Schizosaccharomyces pombe: one gene and its partner. The gene in region 2 interacts genetically with the main gene of each other region. Each region holds a gene or a part of one and is shown on either strand. Other genes may lie near its edges.

Region 1 (5,056 bases), 3.5 Mb from region 2:
TTTTACTTTTTTTTTTCGTTTTCATCATTCCCATTTCATTTTTCCCCGTTGGTTTTACTCTTTTGGTCACGTATTTCTATTTCTATGGTTGGTATTACATGCATTATTTACCCGCTCTACCTTCAGTTGCTATAAAGGAACAATGTGAGCGATTTTATATATCCTTTGCAAACTTTTTGCTAATTTACATTTCGAGTCTCTTTAGCATTCCCAAGTTTGTTTTTTTTCGGTTTATTCTTTTAGAACGATAAATCCAGAAAATTTGGAAGTCTCGCATCTAGTCATTCACTCCTTTCTTTTCAAATGACTTGTTTTTTTTGCTTTGCAATTTCTTACCACCTCCCTTTTGAAACGTTGTTTGTTCAGTTGGGTTGATTGGTACTATCATCTCACAAATAATTTACTTCAAATACACTCGTTTTTGCTGTTCACGTCGTTGTAGTTGTTTGCTAGTTTCGTATACGAAATGAAAATTTTGCTCTTATCTTTACTTTTCTATTTTGAAATAAAATGAATGTCAAGCTTACACATGTCATCGACACTAATTTTGATTTGCAATAACTAGTAACTATTCGTTTGTAAACCACTGCTAATTAATCAAAAATTACCAGACTCCTTTCCATTTATTGACTTAGTATGTAATTAGATTTACATGTTTTTCTATTTCTATTTACATATTGATATCTAACGTTGCCAGATGATTTCCTAGAATTTTGTACCCTTTTGATGTTTGCTATATCTTAGGTAGTATTGAATCATAATATTACTTCGCCTCACCAGCTTCTTTCATGTAGTCTACGAAGCAAAAACTTAGTAATGACTCTACCAAAAGAATTTTTAATGAGGACAAAAAAATGAATTAAACAATAATAAAAACAAAACATTCTTTTGAAACCTAACCATAAAATATTAATTGAATCAATCACAAACATTTTACTAGTATAAGAATTATGATATATATGTATATATGAGATTCTGCAGTATACTTTCCAGAATGAAAGAATTACCGATTACATTTCTCATCCAATTAAAGTTTTAAAGTCGCTGAAAAACTTTCAGCAAACTAAGATGGTCTACTTATGACTCCTAAAATAACAATTAAGAAAATAATCGTGATCGAAAAAATTTAGTTCTCATCAAAACAAAATTCAGGTTTGATTTATTCAACACCAATAACGACAAAAAAAAAGTGAACGAAAAGAATATCCACACAAGTAGACCATTGTAGAATCAGTATAGATAGCGATTGGTATATGTACGCACAACAAGGCAGATTCACTGGCTATATTAATGCGTAATACAACAAAGAAGTAAAATAAGTTTGGTGGCAAAAATGGATATACAAGAACTTTAGAAGATGAATGCATATACCCGTTACATTTAATCAATTCGGGCACGATGAATTGGAATTGGAACAAAATCATCAAGTTTCACGGGTAAAGCATCGCGAGCATGGGACGGAATTAGTTTTTGGTTAAGGTCAGGACGAATGGATAGTTCGAAGGGGGAAAAATTAAACAATTCGGGTAAATGACGAGGAGAAGCATCGGGATTACGAGAGTTATGAAGCTTAGTATTAGGATCCCGAAGCTCATCAAAAAAGGGATGGCACATTGCCTCAGCAGCAGTAAGGCGATCAGTAGGTGTATATTGAAGCATTTTTGATAAGAGATCCAATGCATCAAGGGGAACACTTCGAGAAAACACTCGTGAAAGAGGCTGTGGACGTATTTGTGGGAATCGATGTTCCATATAATTAGGATTCATAGTCTTTATTTGTTCTCGACTAGGAGTACCGAGAATTTTGATAATCTCTACCAACTGATCAATGCCACTTTCACCGGGAAAAAGAGGATGTCCAAGCATAAGCTCAGCCATCACGCATCCAGTAGACCAGATGTCAATAGCGTGAGTATAATCAGTAGCTCCAAAAATCAATTCTGGAGCTCGATAATAACGAGAACATATATAAGAGACATTTGGTTCACCAGCAACCAAGATTTTTGCGCTACCAAAATCACAAAGCTTTAATATTCCGTTTTCCGGATCTAATAGTAGATTTTGAGGTTTGATATCACGATGGCAAATACCGCTAGCATGAATGTAGGCTAAAGAACGCAAAAGCTGATATATATACAATTTGACTTCCAGCATTGGCATAGAAAGTTTTTGACGAGTATATAGACGAGAAGCACGATAAATCGTTTCAGGCATAAACTCTAGAACCAAATTTAGATAGACTTCATCGGAATTATCACCGGTGGTATAATAGTAGGCAATTAAATCGACAATATTTGGATGCTTCATAATTCGCATAATTTGTAACTCCCTATTCTAAAATTAAGTGTTAGAAACAAAGGTTCATTGGAGAAGATTTATAATACTGAGTTTTTTTATAAATCTAGAAAGAAGTGCAAAAAATGGAGGAGGGAAAAAGGAAAAATATGTTCAAAACGAATACACTAAATTTTCAACGCATCCAAATACTGGCTAAAAAAAGCTTGTGTATCGTACAATGGATGCAAAAAAAAAGCAATAGGCATTTGAGTTGTACAATTTCATGACAACAGGTATGGTAAGCCTGTGGACACTTCAAAGAAGAGAAAGCACAAAAGCAAGTAATGTTTTAATAACACTACTCTCTTACCATTTATGGCATGTAGACGACCAATCTTTTGTAAATGAATCTTACGTATATTGACGAAGCACGCGCGCTACGTATCTTCAGCGTAAACAAAAGTGTGCGGTTTTCACAGAAAAATAAAGTAAAATCTAACCCTTCCTTTCGCATTTTGCATTCAATAAAAATACATACCTTAAACCGTTTATCTTGCAAAACGCGTTTTATAGCGGCTTTGCTGTCTGATTCAATTAAATGAACCTGCATGACCACGCCAAAGCTTCCAGAGCCCACAACTTTACTCGAAGTGTAAGAAAGTTGCTTCACCTCTCCCGTTGACCCATCACGAGCGGTTTCCTTTATAATACGAAAGGGGTCCACAGGAACTATTTATACGGTTAGAACAACAGCACTATCGAAGTTAGCCAACTTACTTTTAGTACCATGATTCATTATGGATGATGATACAGAAATGTTAAATTACAAAATGAAAAAAAAGCTATCAGAGGACTTAAAAAGGAGGTTTTCTTGGCGTGATGAACGTGGAGTACGGGTTGTGGTAGTGGAGGAAGTTCTACCATAGAATAATCTCTGGGGTATAGTAGCATGATACAAAGTGCGTACTTCTAAGAGGTAACATTACGGGACATGAGCAAATCATAAAACTGTAAACTCTCGGCGCAAGTATCAAAGAAAAGAGGGTTCATTCTTTCCTCTTATTTATTACAATAACCATAAAAAAGTACGTATATTAATGAAAAATTCGTGCTTGAGAAATTGAATTCATGGTTATTAACCATCTTACGTATACGCGATTATCACATTGTGAGTTTTAATTCCTCCAGTCCGTTATATTGAATAGTGTTACCGAATTTAGAGTGATATACTTTGAAACTGCTAGAGCAAACACTGAATTCGATGTGGATTTTAGAAAAGAAAAACATATTTTTTAAAATAATTCACATAAAATCTAGTAGGAAGTTTGACTTTTCAAATGCCATCAGAATTGTGCTCCTACCTTTCAGTAGCAACTGCTGTCGCAATTCATATACAGTAAATAATGGAACATTCACAGGGAGACAAATTTATACTAGCATATGCAAATCGCGTATCCCTCCCTGTCTCAAAGGAAAAAATGGAAAAACTACGAAATCAGAGAGCGAACCAATGTCTCAGAAGCATCTCAAATATGTTAAAAAATACATAAACAAAGTAAGAATCCTTAAAAAATGAATGTGTATAAATAATGTCAAACATTCATATATAATATATAACACGAGTATTAGTATGCCACACCGCTAAAGGAGATTATGCTTGATAGCCTACATCATTAAAGCCATTTTGCAAGTCGATCTATTAACTCATCAAAAATCTTGTATTACGTGTTTTGTTATTTAAATATTGCGCACAACCTTAGCTTCGGTCAATTTATTATATTAGCTAATAACGCCTTAGTAGGTTGGCTTGGCACGTAAATAAAGTCAATTGAACACATTTTATACATAAATTTTGAGATTTCCAACTGTCTCTTCAATATCCTTGTTGATTTGGCAGTTTTAGAAAAAAAAATTCAGCTTAACGTTTTTATACCATATATTCATTAAGGTCAAGTTTCGTCCACTTTATCGCACCACGAAATTTCCATTTGTACCACCTTCAAATTGCATCAAATAGCCTGATTACTTAGTATTTAAACGCAGTTATTCCACTTTTGATTGTCTATCTGTTCATATTATTCCTCCTTGTCTTTTCGTTTGGATTTTTAACTCACTTCTAGTCTTTTTTTGATAACTGTTGAACAAATTATATCTCTTCTAGCCATCGGACGCTGATTTTCATTCCTTTCTTTTTTTTTACTGTTATTTCGTTCATTTTAGCATTTTTGGCACTATCTCATTTGTTTGCATTTGCGTTTCCTTGTTGAATAGTTTTTTAGTTTAGGGGAACCATGTCTGTCAGTACTAAACGTCTTGAAATGGATGAAGAAGCAGAAGAGGCTTTTGATCTTTTTGACGTGACACACAAAGGGTACATTGACTTTGAAGACCTTCGAAGATCTTGCGCTCAACTAGGGGAAAATTTGACTAAAGAACAGCTTCAGTTGATGCTCGATTTAGCTGGCACTAATGGTAAAGTATCGCGTGAAGAATTTGCCGAATTGTGGATTCATATATCTTGAGATTGTTTATCAATGGAGACAAACTTCATTTTATTTATGGGATTCATTCTCGCACTTTAATGACTTAATGATGATGGACTTAGTGTACTAAAAAAGATTAAACAATATTTCCTCGTGTTTTCTTTTTGTTTTCAAGCCATAGATGCCTGTTTTATATACTTGGTTGTAGGTTACAATTGATGCTAAAGATAAGTGTCACAGCCTGCTTGAACAACAATACTAGAATCTACATTCTTTCGTAAACCTTGATTTATTGA
Region 2 (5,395 bases):
TACTTATTTTTTTTTTCTTTAAAGAATACCTTCGGGAATTGGTTGCGTATAGGAAGAATTGAATCTGTCTCACTTGAATTGTATGCGACAATGTCGTTTTGATGTTGTTGACCCATACTCTCTTGACACTTGTTTACTAATGTCATTTTTTCATTTTTTTCTCATAGACGATAGATTACTCCTTGGGATGTATGAATTTCTTTATCGTTTTCTTCAATTATTAATCCTATCAAATTGTCTGTAGTTTTTCATTCATGAACCAAGTCAGAATCACTTTTATCTTGGTCCTTGTTCATATCCCTTCGCTTGCCATAGCGCCAGCGCCCTTGACATCATGGTAGAGTGTGTTTGATATAGAAGCATCATAAACTATCCAATGGCCAGAACCCTAGAAGATTGCTGAGAAATGTAATTAAAACGTTGTAAATTCATTGCCTTTGGTATTGAGTGTGATGCCTGCGAATTTCATCTTTTCAACTACTGACCTAAGTGTGGTGGATATGTGGACAAATGATGGGATTGTTAAATAATGAAAATGATGCTTAAGAGTTTCTGGAAGAAAACGAAGAATTGATAGATTGGACATTTGACGTTGACTTTCCATTTCTATATAATGGATGTGGATTTCGCTAATGCCAAACACAAACTGCATTGTTTATTAAAAAAAAATTTCCTCTTAACGATTCGATTCAGTTCATTGGTTTCAATACAATACATCCCATTCTCCAATCGTTTGTATGAAATCATCAGTATTGCTCTAAATCCTTGCAATTTTTCTAAAAGTCTTTTTTGGTTACGAAAAAAAATAAAAAACTCCGTTCTGTTAAAAACTTCCTTTGATTCTAACGAAACAATTTTTTTTTTATATTCTCTTCATCGTTGTGTGTATTATCTTTTCATTTATCTGTGATAATACCGATTCTTTATTTATTTATTTACTTAGTTATATACTTGTTATTCCATTCTGTTCCTTTGTTAGTTACTGATCTTCACCTTACTTTCAATCATTTTCTTTTGGGTTGTTGTAAGGTTTATATATTTGGTTTATCTTGTACGATAGTTTGTTTTTTTCTTCATTCGCAAGCTATTCTATCTAGATATTTTTTTAGCTCCATTTCCTATAAGCTTTAGTTTTTCTTTTCCCTTTTCCCGTCTAATTTTTTCTTGTAAAATCGCTAGACGTCCATTTTCATTTTCTTGTTTGCTTGTCTTTTTACATCTCTTCCAAAAATATCCGTCTTCTCTTTACTAGCACAAAGAAGAGAAATATCCTTCCTCCATTTCAATTAAACGACGATATTTCTTTCATTTCATAGTCGTTTACTTTACCAATTAACCCTTGAAAGGACATTGTATCTCGCAAATTCCTTGAGTTTGCTTTCCCGGTAAATTTGGTATAACCGACAACGATCTTCATTGTCTGCCTCCATCCATTCCCCATTAGCTGCTTCACAACGTGACCAGACTGCGAACCCTGCCTCAAGTTTGATTACCGAACCAACATTTGAATCGCTAAACGTTTTTAGCCGCTTCGATTTTCCGAGAAACACATAAACAAAGATTGTGTGTGTTACTGTACCCGTGTGCACTTGACCGTATATTAGGACACTATAACGCTAAGCTGCGTACCGCTTAATTCTGCACTGAGCTCCAAGCCATCCGCCATCGTTCATTTGCGACCCTTTGTCTAGAAACTATTCGCCCCTTGTCTTCGGCCCCATCTATTGGAAGTAACGACCTTCCGATACGGCACTGACGAAGTTGCATTGTTACCCCTAATTACTTTGATCCAAGTTCGATCCACTCTGTGTACTCTGATTGGCTTTCTTATATTTAAGGGCCCCTCATTAGGTGTTTAAGTCTGAAAGCTTCACTGTTATTCGCTCGCATAGTCGGCGTCACTGTTACTTGACCCTTTTATCCTTGTTACCTTTATACATACGTAACGAGAAGGCTTGCTAAATCACCTTATCAATTACTACTTAAACACCGTCCTACCCTTCTTAACGCCTTATTCTGACTAACTTCAACGTGAGGACGACACGAAGGAAGCAGAAGCAAATATACTTACTTAACTTAAGGGAGTTAGTACAATCATAGAATTGTTGTTGAATACCATATATTCAACTTAAAAAAAATTAAACATATTTATAAAAAAAATTCGCTTGCAACATATATTGCGTCCACTAGTTGCCTGCAAAAAAAAGATTACTCTTTTGAAGTATCACCACTCTTTTCGATTGATCTCGATTGTTCATTGAATCAAAGCGTAAATTATTTACTATTTCGCTTTATTTTAAAAAAAAGTCGAATCGAACAGTTTCCTCGACTCGATTCGTTATTACTTGACTTTCTTTGTTGATTAAAAAGGATTCTTTAAAAGGTTTTTACTCCCTTTCTTTTCATCTTATTTATATTATACATTTATCATCCGTTAATCGCCAATTTGTTTAGACTGAAAAAATTAGATAAGTCACTTTGGGGTTTCCACTTAAAACATTACAATACACTAATTACACTTGGGTAATTTAGTGCTTAAAAATAGTTTACCTTCATTTTTTTGCTTGGTAAATTCTTCTTTTAGAAACTTTTTCCTTTTTTTTTCGAATTTATAGTTCGTCGAATTTCATTAGATTTTACATTCAGTCTTTTTTTAATTGCCTTTTTTTACCCCTCTCAGCGCTCTCTAAGAACTTGCCTTCCTTAAGTCGAGTTTTCTAAGTGCATTATTCCCTGATTTCTCAAAAAATAACTTACTAAATTATTTTGTTATTTTTATTCTATTTTTTCATCATTGGTATATAATTTTTAATTTGGTTTCTATTTATCGGTTTATCTTTTAATTTTCTCTTTTATCTCTTTAATTTTATTAATTCCCTTAAAAACTTTTCAATATGCCATCTCTCGCATTGCCTATCAATAAGCCTTCCCATCACAATGTCAACTACAACGGAAATTCCTTTAACAGCATTCATGCTACCTCTTTTGGAATGAGTCCACAGTCTTGGGGAAATAGCTTTAGTGGACAAGCTTGGCTTCGTGATACTATTCCATCTCTTTCTAACGTGGTTGAGTCACAAACGATTCCCGAAGAGGATTCTACCTCTTATCTAAACCGGTTAGAAGAAGCATTTTGCCGTGATTTCCGCTGCTGTGGTCAAACTCTCGAAGATTTGCATCAACTTATTCACCATTATGAAGAGCAGCACGCCGTTCTGGCAACTGATTCTGCTGTTCCTCAAGAATATTCTTTGGATAGCAACAACGCTGCTCAATCTAATCATTCTCATATTCAAGCGCTCAAACAGCGTGAGCGCATCCGTATGCATGATCTTGCTGATCAGCTTGGAACTTCTGAAATTTCTGATAATTCTGCTGTTTTACCATTTGCCTTTCCTGCTAACGGTGGTGCTCCTGGCCCTTACCGCGTTTCCGTTGTCGTACCTGCCGCTGCTGCTGCTGCTGCTGCCGCTGCCAGCTCCGACATGAGCAGTGACGAGGCCAGTAGTCAAGCAGAGACAACTGGTACCCCGAAAAAGATGCCTGAATCATTGGTAATGGATGCAAGCTCCCCTCTCAGTGACATGAGCATGTCTATTGACGTTGGTGAGTCCGCTGCCAATAATGTTTTTGCGTTCAATCAAAAGGACATGGTTGACTCTACATATCTTCCCCCATTCAATTACGATCACGATGTTTTTTCATTTGCTCCATCTGTCGCATCCGCCGATCAATTCACAGAGTCTAGCATGTCTCCTACTCCTGAAGTAGTTTCACCCGCAGCCACAAACTCAGCAATCTCATCCCCATTTGTTAGGAAATCTTCTAGTGATTTGGAAGCTAAGCCATCTAAAAAGCAGCGTTCTACTCCTGCATTCTCACACGATTCACCGCTCACTATTGATTACCCAGGCTCTAACTTGGTGGTTGTAGACAAGCCATACAAATGCCCTGTCCCTAATTGTGATAAGGCTTATAAGAATCAAAATGGTTTGAAGTATCACAAACTTCATGGACACTGTTCCCCCATTACTACTCCAACACCAGCTCCAATTCCTCATCAAGGGTTTGTTGTGGAAAACAAGCCTTATCGCTGTGAAGTTTGTAGTAAAAGATATAAAAACTTAAACGGTTTGAAATATCATCGTACACATAGTCATCTACAAGTGTCTATGGCCCAAGCTCAACGGGAAGTTCAAATGAACTTTATGCGCACCGCATAAATATGCTCTTTTTTGCCTTTGTAATATTTGAACATGAGATTTGTATCTCAGTTTCGTATCTTCAAGTTTGAATACTTTTATGTCTATCTTTGCTTTTAAGTTTGAGAAGGGTAGACATGTTGTGTGGAGTTTGCTTGATGTTTACGGGCTTGCATTTATCTGCATACAACAATCGAATTAGCTGTAAAGTGAACCTGTCTCCTTTGATTCATTCCCGTTAATTTTGCACTTACTTTATTACCTACATGATGGCTGTGTTTGTTTTGTTTGCTTTTTTTTTGTTTTTTAATTTTTTGTTTTGTCATTTTGGGATTCTGGATTTTTAATGGTTTTTATTGTGTATTAAGTTATTTTTGTACCAAATATCCTCTTGCTGTTATTATTATACCTTTTAAGTTAATAAATATGTATGGCAGTGTTATTTACCATATATTTGCTAAGTTATTTCACAACGTAGTTTCGATAGTAATTGTAGAGTACTGTAAGATCGTTGGTTAGTTCCCATTGGGTAAGTTGACTATATAACGTTAGATTCATTACCAATTTGCCTAGTCATTTGCGCATTTTACGAGACAAACACAGATCACTCGTATATAAGTCACCAGATATTTTATTAATCTACTTAATTCAATCCAGATGATAAGCCAGTATTAAGTATGAAAAGTTGATGATGCATATGAAGAAAGTGAATGCTCGATACACTAAGACCATAAGTTGTTTATCCCTCTGCCTCTTCCACACTATTGCTTTTGTGCTTTGGTGTAAAGGTGAATCGCTCAGGAGTAGGACCTAGGAAGAACTCACTCAATTTAACCCAGTCCGTAACTTTATTACTGGCCAAGAGAGTTTCCATCTCATCTCTCGCGGTATATAGAGGCGGTCTATCATTTAATCTGGGCCTTTGAACTTCGTACAAAGCTATAGGTGTATAACGATGGAAAAAGCTCATAAACTCCAAGAAAAATCTCCTAGTCGTATTGACTCCTTGAGAGTCAGAACCCCAATACTCTAAACCATTATTACAGTATTGTTCCAACATTTCGAGTCGTTGAGTTGATGACTTATCAATAAACTGACGAGCTTCAATTTCTTCAAAAATCCATGGCTTAACGAGTGCACCTCGGGCAATCATCACAGTATCAACACCCTTGTTAACACCATCATACCAATCC

What was found.
Region 1: mutations in sfp1 (region 2) and gsk3 together harm fitness more than expected from each alone (negative genetic interaction), as found in Schizosaccharomyces pombe (2 studies listed by BioGRID).

Annotation. Positions count from the first base shown.
Region 1 is NC_003424.3:927,956-933,011, reverse strand, and holds gsk3 (serine/threonine protein kinase Gsk3), read right to left. Parts: upstream 3,182-5,056; 5' UTR 3,074-3,181; coding exon 3,055-3,073; exon of another isoform or gene 3,007-3,054; coding exon 2,816-3,006; intron 2,335-2,815; coding exon 1,381-2,334; 3' UTR 815-1,380; downstream 1-814. Other genes in the region: SPOM_SPAC1687.23C (uncharacterized protein), read left to right, coding at 3,539-3,853; SPOM_SPAC1687.14C (calcium-binding protein), read left to right, coding at 4,569-4,799. UniProt on the Schizosaccharomyces pombe protein: Interacts with cdc14 which is thought to play a role in the initiation and completion of mitosis. Involved in the positive regulation of mis12.
Region 2 is NC_003424.3:4,431,132-4,436,526, reverse strand, and holds sfp1 (transcription factor Sfp1), read left to right. Parts: upstream 1-2,013; 5' UTR 2,014-2,894; coding exon 2,895-4,223; 3' UTR 4,224-4,658; downstream 4,659-5,395. Other genes in the region: SPOM_SPAC9E9.02 (uncharacterized protein), read left to right, coding at 614-910; SPOM_SPAC9E9.01 (uncharacterized protein), read right to left, coding at 1,326-1,588, 1,630-1,666; tRNA dihydrouridine synthase Dus3, read right to left, coding at 4,942-5,395.